2 linked regions of the Drosophila melanogaster genome follow. The protein of the gene in region 2 binds, or shares a complex with, the protein of the main gene of each other region. Each region holds a gene or a part of one and is shown on either strand. Other genes may lie near its edges.

What was found.
Region 1: the proteins of 4E-T (region 2) and eIF4E1 are in contact, whole or in part, in a crystal structure (PDB 4UE9), measured with the Drosophila melanogaster proteins. Residues at the interface, in NP_726618.3 of Drosophila melanogaster: Arg9, Tyr10, Lys12, Leu15, Leu16, Leu18, Arg19, Glu21, Lys23, Ser24, Arg25, Gln29, Cys30, Ser31, Arg33, Gln37, Leu39, Gly40, Phe41, Trp42, Lys43; in NP_001261626.1 of Drosophila melanogaster: Lys80, His81, Pro82, Leu83, Met84, Tyr91, Glu93, Asn105, Ile107, Thr108, Val113, Glu114, Trp117, Ser118, Leu119, Tyr120, Asn121, His122, Ile123, Lys124, Tyr135, Leu174, Asp175, Leu178, Ile181, Gly182, Glu183, Ala184, Phe185, Asp186.

Annotation. Positions count from the first base shown.
Region 1 is NT_037436.4:9,399,105-9,404,357, forward strand, and holds eIF4E1 (eukaryotic translation initiation factor 4E1), read right to left. Parts: upstream 3,357-5,253; 5' UTR 3,200-3,356; coding exon of another isoform or gene 3,176-3,199; exon of another isoform or gene 2,813-3,175; intron 2,702-2,812; exon of another isoform or gene 2,553-2,701; intron 2,503-2,552; 5' UTR 1,993-2,502; coding exon 1,936-1,992; intron 1,850-1,935; coding exon 1,479-1,849; intron 1,415-1,478; coding exon 1,315-1,414; intron 1,081-1,314; coding exon 993-1,080; intron 930-992; coding exon 766-929; 3' UTR 514-765; downstream 1-513. UniProt on the Drosophila melanogaster protein: Recognizes and binds the 7-methylguanosine (m7G)-containing mRNA cap during an early step in the initiation of protein synthesis and facilitates ribosome binding by inducing the unwinding of the mRNAs secondary structures.
Region 2 is NC_004353.4:952,359-960,044, reverse strand, and holds the start of 4E-T (eIF4E-Transporter), read left to right. Parts: upstream 1-1,652; 5' UTR 1,653-2,013; coding exon 2,014-2,039; intron 2,040-2,155; coding exon 2,156-3,500; intron 3,501-4,994; coding exon 4,995-5,124; intron 5,125-5,181; coding exon 5,182-5,556; intron 5,557-5,818; coding exon 5,819-6,025; intron 6,026-6,145; coding exon 6,146-6,532; intron 6,533-7,583; coding exon 7,584-7,686. UniProt on the Drosophila melanogaster protein: eIF4E1-binding protein that regulates translation and stability of mRNAs in processing bodies (P-bodies). Probably plays a role in P-bodies to coordinate the storage of translationally inactive mRNAs in the cytoplasm and prevent their degradation.

The sequences.
Region 1 (5,253 bases), on a different chromosome or scaffold from region 2:
ATGGCTATGCTTGTTAGAATTGCACATATATTTTATGTATTTTATTTAGCTAAACACGGAGACATATCCTTACACGATATCTACGAGCGACGCGACCAGTGTGACTGCGCCTACACAATTGAAACATGTCACATGCAGTGTGACCGTTCTTGGCTGAATGGAAAAGCTCTCACTCATATAAAATTCAATAATAGGTTAATAAAAAAAAAATACTGACTTATTTTTTAAATACAAACGTATTTACTCTAACAATATAAGTAAAAAGCTAAAATTATTTTAATGTCTATTTAGGAAACCTATCGATATATCGATACACATTTTTTTTTGGCCACCCTAGAAATTGCTAACGTATTTTTAGCAACAAATTGAATTCCAAATTTGGAAGTTTTGCTTTAGGTGCCCATATTAGGATACAAGCTCGTTTTAGTAATACAACAAGTAATTATCCCAAAAACAATATAGGTTAACTTTTTTCTATTTTAAAATATCTCCAAAATCAAAGATCAAAAGTATCCGGTTTTAATGTAGGTTTTTATTAATATACTTTTCCGTCTAATCCATTATTGACAGTGACTACAAAAAGCGGATAGATTTTATATTATGCCGATTTTTGATAACAAAGGGGGTTCCGTTTCGGTTTCGTTACGCGGGTCTTAGACAATAGTCACGATTAATCGCTACTGTTGCTTATAACGATAAATAAATGAAAGACAAAATAATCAGTGTGGGATCGGACCGAATAAGGAGCGGCCAGTTATTAGCCGCCTACAAAGTGTAGATCGATTTCACGTTGGAGCCCTGCTTGACCATCGTGTCCTTGTGCAACTGATACTGCAGCGAGTTGTTGCGTCCCAGACGCAGGGCATCGCGCAGCTTGTGACCAATCTCAAGGGCAGCTTCCTCGTTGTTTCCGTCGGCAGTCCAGATGGCTGGAAAGCATTAATCGTTAAACAAAGGAATTCCGCTGAAGTTGGGTGTGCGTGAAAACTTACATATCTTGTTGCTCTTGCCGCGAATGTTTATAACAGCGCCGCAGATCTGATCAGAGTGATCGAAGGCCTCACCAATCAGGCAGAGCAGCTGGAAGGCAAAACAGTTGTAGTTACTCATATGCGAAAAATATTTATGATATAAGCTCACTATTGAATGTTCCTAAGACAAAAGCTAGCACTAGCGTATTTTTAGCTGATATTTTCTATAAGTTATAATTTATATTGCAAAATCATACACCTATTTCTATATTTTTGCATTTCAAGAATGTACATTCACTATAAATAGACCATCCGCTCACCACTCGTTTCTTTGTGCACTTACCACATCGAGCCATAGGTTATCCAGATCGGTCTTGGAGCTTTTGTTAAGGGTAATGACCCAACGACCGCCCTGTTTGTTGGCTGCATCCTCCCACATGGGACTGCAAATGAGATATCAGTTAGTAAAGGTTATCTTGGCAGAATTGCAATAAACAGCAAACCCACCGAATGTTCTTCTTGAATAGCGAGTAGTCACTACCCAGCTTGATCTCTGATGGGGGCTTGATGTGGTTGTATAGGCTCCAGAAGTCCTCGACGGTATCGAAGCTGGTGATCTCGTTTTGCATGTCCTCCCAGGACTTGGACCGATCGTTTTCAAGGTACCACAGCGTCCAGACATTCATGAGCGGGTGTTTGTATAAATGCTCGGTGCGCACAGCATCGTCGCCGGCAGGAGCAGTAGTGGTTGCAGTGTTGCCTGCTGGTTCACCAGTCTCCTGTGGGTCCTCCTTGGGCTTGACATCCTTAGCCTCGGCGGGCGCTGCAGCCGAAGTTGGTGGTTCCGGACGACCCTGCTCGGTGCTGGGGGCGCTGGTCTGCGGGAGAAGATGGCAATGGATGGGAAGGGGAATCAGAAGATTAGATTAGCTTGGCTTAGCGACAGGCGCACTGAGAGTATTACTTTGAACATGGACTTGGGATTGGCAAAGTTCTTCATTCTGTGAAAGTCGCTCTGCATGTTGGCGGCCGTGTTTATTGGATGCGTTTGATGGTAGGATCAGTTCTTTTTCGGCTCCGGAGTGGGTTCGGATCGGTTTCGATTCGCCGTGATTCACTTGCCGCTCTCTCTCTGTCGCGGTGTTTGTGATAGTTGATAGTTGGTTGGTGCGTGTGTGTGCGAGAGAGCGAAGCTTTTGATTTCTGTTTGAGTGTGTGTGGATTTTGGATTGTTTCGTGATATCTCGCTCCCCTGCAGTTCGCTCTTCACTTGTGTATTATTAACCAAAAAACTAAGTAATGATAATACAAAAAACTCGTTAAACTTGTTGTTGCTGTATGGTTGAGTGGGTGTTGTAACTAATTATTGAGTATATGGTGTTGGAGTATCCTGTTTCACTTAAAATCGGACTAGGCTACTACTAAAATAGGCGAACTAATGCTGTTCCTAACGAACTCGGAATCGAAAGGGGCGATGGAATTACAGCACACACACACACGCGCACGTATCTGACATAAAAACACAGATTGCCTGTTGAAAGAATTGGAATTGTTGTTTTATATTTGAGTTAAAAGAGTTACTTGATTTTATTTTATGTTGCGGCTAAAATTCGTGTTCGAGTTCAAAGCAGCGGCGCGATTAACTGAAAAAAATTAACGTCAAAGAAAGGAGGTGGAAAGTGAAGAGGGAAAGCCAACGGTTTATTTACTGCAATGGCCGACAAAAATATGATTTAACTGTTCGCGACTGGTTAATTGCAGTAATTCACTCTTTTTCCATTCTTTCCATATTTGTCTCTCCGCTCTCCTATTTATGTATATGTAGCTAAAGAAGAACACACCCACACACACGCGCGCGATGTCTTGACAAGAGAGAGAGAGCGAGAACACTGAAAACGTGTGGTATGCGTATGCAAATGCGAAAGGAGAGAAAAAGAGAACGAGTGACCGCGAAAGAGAGATAGCTTGATAGAGACAGACAGAGATAGCGATAGCTATGACGTAGACAATAGCGTGCAAGTACAATTAATATTAAGCAATTGTGCAAAAAATAATCGGTGAACACAATGATGATGTAGCCACGCCAACTGCACACTTTTCCGCTCGACTATCGCCTCCCCTCTTGTGCAACAACCCTGTTTTTGTTGTTCCTGCCACGGCTCAGCCGAAATCGAAACCATGCGGCTCGCCGTTTCTCGCCTTACCTTCTCCGTCTCCAACACTACCATGATTTCGATGTATCGAAATGTATACTAGATATCGGTTACGCACTCAAGCTGCGTAGGTTACTGGGCTTAATTATTATTCGAATTATTTAATTCTTTAATTAAGTTTGGGATTTTGGTGGCCAGACAGTGTGGCCGTTGCCTAAAGGAAAGTTAGTGACGAGCGACCGAAGGCAGCTATCGATTGTTGAACAGGGCAACTCTGGAAATGCCTGTCACTGACTGATTGTTATAAAACCCAAGCAACCGTTACGTTTTTAAGGTTTCCATATATGTCATCTCTTCTATCTCTTTTCATGCGCGGAATTTACCATTTCACCATTAAAATACTAAAATTGTTAAATGTTTATCGGAGCTAAATATCATACTTTCTATTGTAATATTTGTATTTGAACCGAAATTCATTTTCTGTCATCCAGGTTTAAAATGAAACGATATTAAACAAGTTTATAACCAGTAAGTTACGCCTATTAGGAATCATTGAGGCCATAATAAGCCATTTTAAATAAACGCTTCTTATTGTCAAAAAACAAATAACTTGCTCCCATGGGAACTTTTTCAAGAACTGACCGAGCTTAACTTCCGCATAAAATGGCAAAGCAAATCTTAGAGCTTCAATCAAAGATATAAATGCAAACTTAATTGACATTTCATCTGATTCCCACAGCGCGATCGCCATCAACAACAACGTCATCGTCATTTATCATACACAATTTGTTGATGTTTTGAAGCCAGCAAAAAATAACAATATATTATAAATAATTATCAAAAATGTTTAATACGGACAAGCCCAGAAAACCTGATTTTTGGTTGAAAATTAGGTCTTCGTTTTTATTTAGACACTGGCATCATCAATTGGAATTTAATAACAAAATAACAAACATAAGAATGAATCAATGAGTTTTCCATATAATGCGACTCTATATTGTTTAAGTTTTCTTGAGAATTCCAGAAACTTTCGAGAATATCCAAAAATAAAATAACAAAGTAACGATATTACTTTAGTTAGAACTTGGACGTCATTGGTTAAATTTTGCCACAAAACTAAGTCTAACCTGTTGGTGAATCATGACTAACCCAGAACCTTAGTTGTTACCAAAGCTGCTTCGTATTTGAATCCAACCAAAATTCTTTCCACACATTATTGGCTCGCCTTTGTCTGCTTTAAAAATAGCCAAAAGATCCCAAAACAACATGGGAATATTTATGAGGGATGGATAATATTACCGCTGATGATGTGGCGCTTTTAGAAACGCTTGACTTTCAAAATAGACTGTTGCAGTTGAGACGCAATCCGAAAATTGAAGATGCTTACGAACTTAGCCTGAGAAACGTGAAGCGTGTTTATTATTTAAATAGTTAAGTCATTTTGTAACCGATCAACTGCGCAGTTGCCCTTGTAAATGCCTAATAAGCGGCTTTCAAGAGCTCGGCACGATCGTTGGATCGATGATCCGAAAACCCAAGATCCCTTCCCGAAACCCAAGATCCGTGGTCTCTAATTACACTTGAGCCGGTCTTATTGAACTGACACTTGATCGCCTGTCCAAGTGTTGATGTGATTACCCATCGCATCCTCTATTCCAATCGCATCGCATCTAATTATGCAGCAGTCAATTGCGGACTTCAAGTGCTTGGCGCATGTCTAAACAAAAAAACTTCCGCCGATCTACAGGAAACCCGGAGTCAAAGTTAAACCTTAGGCAGTATACTTTGCATTAATTGGAAGTAAAAAGTAATTGAAGCGCTCAAAGATGCTTAATTGTAAATAAATCATAGTCAAGTGGTTAGGTTATAAAGTTCGATAAATAAGGTTTCGACTAATGGGTACCTTGTAACTTATACAGAACCTGTATAAAAAATTGTACTTTTTCGTACTATTTTCATAAATTATGCAACAAATAAAATTAAGAATTATGAAGAAAAATGGGTATCTAAATGCTAGTTATACCATCAAGATAAGATGATCGAAACCAGATTTCAGACACCCAGTCGCCGAATATGCTTACTGAACCAATGAATTCCGATTGGTCAAAAAAGTATCTTTAAGATACTCG
Region 2 (7,686 bases):
CCATACCATCCCTATTTTGCCATCCTTACGATACCGCCGTCATTATCTTCATTAATGGGTGGGTAGAGACCGTTAGGTCAATGCAGGACGGCATATAGAAATTGGGTGACGCACTCTTAGACCATAACCAAAACTATCGTATATTCTCAAAAAAAGGGGACTATGACTATAAAAATAGCTATGTATTTAACTCTAAACCTCTATAGATTTTGATAGACCATGACATTGTGTGGAACATGATGTCATTTTCTAGACATTGTGCACGAAGATCATTCCCGAAGTCGACCGAACACTTATTCCGTGCATGTTTCATCAGACCGCCGGCAGCATATTTTAGCGTTAGGCGTGCACTTCCTTGTATAACTGTGTACACCTACAAAAAATTTCAAAATCAATCTATCGGGCACGCTCCGTTAATCGAAGTACTTTACGATTTCGATTTTAAAGATTGGTGCTCCGGTTTTCAAATTCGTAAGGATTTTCGATGTGTATAACGGGCACTTTTGTCTGGCCGAAATGAAAAGTATATGCCCATTTTTATATCACGTTAGATCTTAACCAAGGGAAAAAATAGTTCAGTAGTCTATTGATTTATATTCATTAGTTATTTTATATACAATTTATTTCTGACCCCATCAAAAATTTGATATACAAAATTTTGCTGTCGGCAACAAAAATTTTCGATTTGGCATTTTAAAACGCAAGATCGGTGCTCCGGTTTTCAAATTCGTAAGGATTTTTCGATTTGTAAAACGGACACTTTTGTCTGGCCGAAATGAAAAGTATATGCCCATTTTTATATCACGTAAGATATTATTTACCAAGGGAAAAAATAGTTTACTCAGTGGTCTATTGATTTATATTAATTATTTATATTCATTATTTATTTTATATACAATTTATTTCTGACCCCATTAAAAATTTGACATACAAAATTTTGCCGTCGGCAAAAAAAATTTTCGATTTGGCATGGGGTCATGCGTGCGTCGACTAAACTTACTTATAAAATATAAAAGAATTAATTATCTTAATTTAAAAGATGGCCTATAGTGTTCGTAAGTAATGCTATTTAATTTAATTAATTAAACGGTCAAAATGCAGTAAAAAATTAAATGCGAACATCGGAATTAAAATTGTGAAAAAGGTGTCCGCTGGAAAACAGCTTAAACAGCTGTTTACTGTACAGAAAACACTCCGACAGCAAAAAATTTTACGAAATCAAATCGAATTCGGAAACAAATTACGATTATTCGGTAATGCATGCCTGATTATAATTTCTTGATTTGTTTTATATTAAATTTAAAATTTAATAGTTTAATAATATAAAAATATTCTTATTTATATTATATATTATGAGTATTTCAAATGTAAATAATCATATAAACTATTTTATAAAACATCGACGTTACATAAATAAAATTTATTTTTTGTTTTTCAAGTGTAAATAATAATATTAATCATTTTAGAAAACATTCGGCACCTTTACTCGACGCTCATACGAACGGACAGATATGCTTAGTCTGGTATCGCTTTAGCACCAGTAGGAAAAACCTAGAATTTCTTTTCCCACAAATGTCACAACTTCAAAATTCCATTGTTTCACGGTGTTTCTCTTTTAATGTTTCAATATTAATATATATAATGCCTTAAGGTTCAATAAGAACAAAATATTTTCAATGTCTATATCCCACTCCAATTTAGCGTGATATTCACAAAGCTAATCGCAACATTGTGAGCATTAAAAATTGTTATATATGTATGTAAGCGTCTTGGGATTATATTCTCATGAAACTCAACAGTCATATATATGGCCTTAAAATACGTATATATATATATATATATTAATTTTTCAAAGTGTGTGTTTGCATAAGTGGTGTGTACTATTTGTATATTCATTGTACAATTTCTCCCGTTCATATAGGAGAGTGTTCTGTTTTTAATAATTTTGGATATCTTAACTTTTTCGACTTTCTGTAATAAGTTAGATTACACAGTGAACTATAGTCCTTAGCAATGGATACATCAAAGATTAGTGCCAGGTATGTGGATTAAATATTGGTAAATTTTAGTCAACTTTTTCGATATTATTCTCGCGTACTGTTTTTTTAAACTTGTATATGTACTAACATTGTTTTAACAATCTGTTTCACATTAGGTACTCGAAAGTAGACCTGTTAGCTCTAAGATATGAAGGTAAAAGTCGACAGCGCCCGCAATGTTCAACACGACTTGAATTGCAGACGCTAGGTTTTTGGAAAATTAATCTGAACACAGCTGCGTTAACCGTGTCCAGCGCCTATTCTAATCAAAACAAGAATCGACTTTCTCCAGAAGCAGATAACTCGAGCTTAATTTGTTCCAATAGTAGCTCAATAAGTTCACGTCGCGCTATGAGAAATCGAGAACGGGCAAACAACTATTACCAGCGCTTCGTACCTACCGATTCTCTTCTAATAAGTGGGGAGGATAAAGATAAGGATGCGCTTTCTCATGGACAGCCCTATAAGTTGAATATCATCGATCACCGTAGCATATCATCTTCACATTTAATGCCGGCATTTGCAAAGAGGCGTTTTGTCATATCGAAAGGCAGCAACAGCGAGGAAAGCAACGAGGGGATAAACACTTGTGCAAGCAAGGGCAAGGCAGCCAGTTCGCCTAGCCGTAAGGGTAGCGAGTTGGATACTGCTGAGACATGTTTGAATTTTGTTCAGCCGGATCACGACCAATGCATGTCATCTTCACCTACATTTTCAACATCCCGCCAAGAAAGGCGGATTGGTAGCGGTCGGCTGTTGCCAAGAAGTGATAATTGGGATTACAAAAACGAAAAGACCGTAGAAGCCAGCATTGAGAATGAAAAGGAAACATCTCCAAATGGATCTGGAAGTACAAGCAGTCTTAATCAGCACAATCAAAGCCAACATCGTTCTCGAACATTCAGTGGAAGGTTAGTTGAACGTGTTCCCGAAGTCACAGATCGTCGTTTTCAATATGACTCCAAAAAGTCTTTTGATCGTCAGGGAATTAATAATCGACGCATTTCTGGTAAGGAGCCTTTCAGTACTCAAAGCCGAAGCAAGCGTGGCAATTCCTATCTCATTCACGAAGAACCTGAATGGTTCAGTGCAGGACCTAAATCACAGCTAGAAACTATTGATCTACACGGGTTTGAAGACCTGGAAAAAAACGAAGAGCGATCCGTAACTGAAGATAAAAATAATCAAATTCAACAACTTGATAAAAATTTAGACGCGCAAGCAAGCAAAGATGAAGCTTCGATGAGAAACAGCAATGATAGTTTAAATTTCCGCGAAGTCATTCCAAGTGATGAAAAGAAGCACACTGACGAAAATGTAGTGACTTCTATTCAAAACTCAACAGATCTCGGCCATCCCAATAAAAACAAACCAATTCAGATGCAGCCCAGTCAGAATCCTGAAAGTGAATTTAATTTTGATGCCTTTCTTAATATGCATCCCTTGGATAATTCCGTTTTGGTAAATATATTGCAAAAACTAGATTTTAAGGAATGAGTACCTAATCCATTCAGACATTACATGGACAACTTCCGGGTTACCTTTTATTGACGGATCAATAATAGTATTCAAATAAGCTGTAAATAATGATATTAACTCCCGTTACTCAAGTAAAGGGTAAAGAGTTAAAGGGTATACTAGATTCGTTGAAAAGTATGTAAACTATATATTCTTGATCAGGATCAATAGCCGAGTCGAACTGGCCATGTCCGTCTGTCCGTATGAACGTCGAGATCTCAGGAACTAAAAAAACTAGTATGTTGCAATTTAGCATACAGATTATAGATACGAAGACGCAGCACAAGCAAAGACACTAGAATAACAAGATGCGTAACGGCCATACATTGGTTTTGCACTATGCAGCCAATTTTTTAGTGACGGCCAAAATTGCTCTCTTTCCGCTCGCTCCCGCTGAGAGCATAAGAAATCTAAAAATAGAATTTGCTTGCTTGTGTGAGTAAAAACAAGAGACGAGAACGCATATATGTGTGCGTGTTGTGCTAGAAGACGATTTTCGGACCGAAATCAATTCTGATCAAAGAAACGAATTTACATTGTACATATTAGGGTAGTTTTTGTCAATTTCGTAGCAATATGATAAAATAAAATAATTTTTAACTGACTATTATCATTTTAAAGCTTTTTAAATTTGTTTGTTAAAATCGCCGCTCGAATTAGCTACCGTTTACACATTTATATTTATGTTTAATTCTAATTTGTCTCTCATCTGACAATTTTTTAAAAGCGAAATATTTTTTTTTTTAAACACTTTTAATGTTAATGTTACATCATATTAAGTCAAATGACATAATAAATATAGTAAATAATTAAATATGATAACTGTTTATTGCAAAAGTCATATCAAAGACACTAGAATTATTCTAGTGTCTTTGCTTTGTTCATATCTTGAAGCACGAAGTACGGACACAAGCACTCAACAATCATTGCCTTATTAATTTTTCACACGCCGCAAGATGAATACTCTAATGACAAATATTCTTATATAAAGTCATTTTTGAAATTTATTTTTGTGATAATATGTACATAGATTTGGCTATTTCTAATCTATTTTCATATAATAATAACGTTAAGGCAATGCAAAACAAGAATTTTTCGCATGGTGCCAATTGATCAAAAATAATATAGATTTAAAGTCAAAGAACTTCTAAGGTGAAGGGCATATTTTGTGAAATTTACAATGCATGAGCATGCCTGTGTACACATACAGTTGTCTGCTATCACTTTATGCGTTAAAAACAAACAAACAAACCGCCCAGAACTGCCACGCCAACATTTTTGAAAAATGTTCTGATATTTTTTCATATTTTTATTAGTCTAGTAAATTTCTATGGATTTGCAAAAAAAAAAGTTTGCCCCGGCAACTCTAATACCCTAGAATTTATATTTTAAAGGTAAGCTTATTAATTTTAAGATATATTTATTGTACATTTGCAGAGTAATGATGAAACTGGAAAAAGTGACTCAAAAGGAACATCCCGTTTTAGCCGATGGTTTCGACAAAAAGAAGCTGCAAATAATAATGAGTTTCCAGGGTTTCGGGAATCGCATGCTCAAGAAAAACGTGGTATGTCAAGATTTGTAATAATATATCAAAGGCCTTATAGTTCACTTTGTTCTTAAGGTATTCCAAGTGTTAAGGATCTGGAAGCTCAAATGATAAAAGTGGATATGAGGACTGATTTAATAAATCCAATAGCAGGGTCATTATGTCAGACAGTGCAAATGGAAAAACCTATTGCTAGAGACACTGAGGCATTCAAAAAACTTTTGCAACAGTTGGGTTCTCAAGCCAGGCAGCATCATCCATGCAACGACGATTGTCGTACAATAAACCTCTCAAATATAGCAAATCATGTACACCTTGAGTCAAAATTACATCAAAAAATAAATGATGGTCATTTGCAGCAACCAGAGTTAAGTGTTAACGTGCCAACCATGCCAACTAGTAGTCATGTATTTTTGCAAAAGCGTTTGGAAATCCAACATTTAATTCAAAGTAAGATATGTTTCAAAATTCCATGTCTATAAACTTTTTCTTGAATACTTAAGTCCTTTTTCTTGTCCTTATGGTAAAATAATATAAGGTTTCTGGCTGATAAAACACATGAATGTTACAGTTTACCATATACATGTTTACCATCAGAACGGGAACTTATTTAAAGCGTATCTGGTAAAAACCACGTGTTCTTATTTTAATGCTTTTATACCCTGCGCTGTATTTAAATATTATGAAAAACAAAATGTTTAATAATAAATAGGACTTCATTGTGGAGACGTTTCACATGATTTTTTGGAAAAAGAATTGGATAATCCCAGCACCCCAGCAGCCACAAAGGATGTCATTGCCACAGTGTTGAATGAATATTCTCATTCTAAAAGAAATCCGGTGGTCACAGGCGATCCCAATATTTTTACCCAACAATCGTTTCTTCAGCCTCAATCAGTCCATCAGCACTACTCTCAAGGTAAGTAATTCTTGGTTATATGGTAACTCTTTAAAATTCAATTAATATAATATTTGATTCAGTTAAAGTATCTTATTTATTACTAAAATTATTTGTAAAAATTCCTTAATTTTTTTCTAGAATTGCATTCGCAAAATACTGCTAACCATACGATTAATCAGCTAATTTCCCACGGTAACTCTCCAACTCCGTTGGCATTTACTCCTACTTCAGTTTTAAGAAAAATGACAGCCGATAAGGATACGCAATCACCAAGCACTTATTGTCAGAACCCACAATATCATGTACACCAACAAAATGCCAAGCAAGTCGGTACTCGTGAGAACGTACTTGAGCCACAGCTGACCGCAACAATGGCTGTACAGCCCCGAATGATATTAGGCGGTGGAAACTTTGCCATTGGCCAAAACAATCAACATTTGTCTCCCAACATGTCACAAAGTCGTAATCAACAAGTGTTAAAGTGGACTTCTGGCAATATGCAAATGGTCCACGGAAAAACATTTGGTAAGTTACACAAAAAAGTGTTAGCTATTATTAAAGTACATTTATTAGTTAAAGCTTTGTTTTTTTTTTTTTGCTATAAGTTTTTTTTACTCGTTCTCATAAACTTAATGTAAATGTATATGAATTTCAAGAGAAATTATAAAAATCGTTGAGTTACCATAAAAAGCGTGCAAATACGCAAATACAAAATTCAGTTCTTAAAAGAGGATAGTATAGGATAGGAGAAAGTGGATGCTTTTTATACCCGTTACCCGTAGCGTAAAAGCAAAGACATTAGAATAACAAGATACGTAACGGCCATATATTGGTTTTGCCAAAGACATTAGAATGACGAGTAACGCCATACGTTTTTTAGGATTTTTGTTGACTTTTTCATCAATTTATTAGTCTCTTAATCAAGTAAATTTTCAAAAGTTTTGGTGGCTTTGTGGGCGTGGCAGTTTTGGCCTGTTTGTGGGCCTTAGAGTGTCCGCAGCATCATGACTCTCTCAAGCTTCTCAACTCTCTAGCTTCTATAGCTCCTGAGATCTCGATGGCCAGATCGACTCGGCTATTGATCCTGATCAAGAATATATATACTTTATATGGTCGGAAACGCTTCTTTCTGCCTGTTACATTCTTTAAAACGAATATAGTATATCTCTACGAGAACCGGGTGTAAATATACAACCTGTAGAATAGCTAAATTGGCTTTTTGAGACACGACGTGCGTGCACGTATATACTTACATAATATAGAGAGTATTTTTTAATAGACCAAAAAATAAATATTCATATACACAGTTTGCTTAATTTATATTCTGTGCAAGAAGTGTACCCTACAATTTTGATTATTCTTGACTTATTGGGGTAATGAAAATTACGATTATTTAGTGGAATTTTTTGAAGTGGACTTTGTTTTAATGTAGTTATCTGTGACCCAAAGCAATATTTTATTCTCTAGGAATAAATATCTTTGTTAAACAACGCGATATAATAAACTTGAGATCTTCGACTTCTGTATTAATGGGTTCAAAGACTTACACATTATTATTTTGACTTACATATTTTAGGCCGACCTATTCTGAAAGGAGGTCTTAATTCAATGCCGCATTCCAATTCTGCACTTCCTTTTACTGCCCATAAAATTGAAATGCAACCCATTCATCAACCACA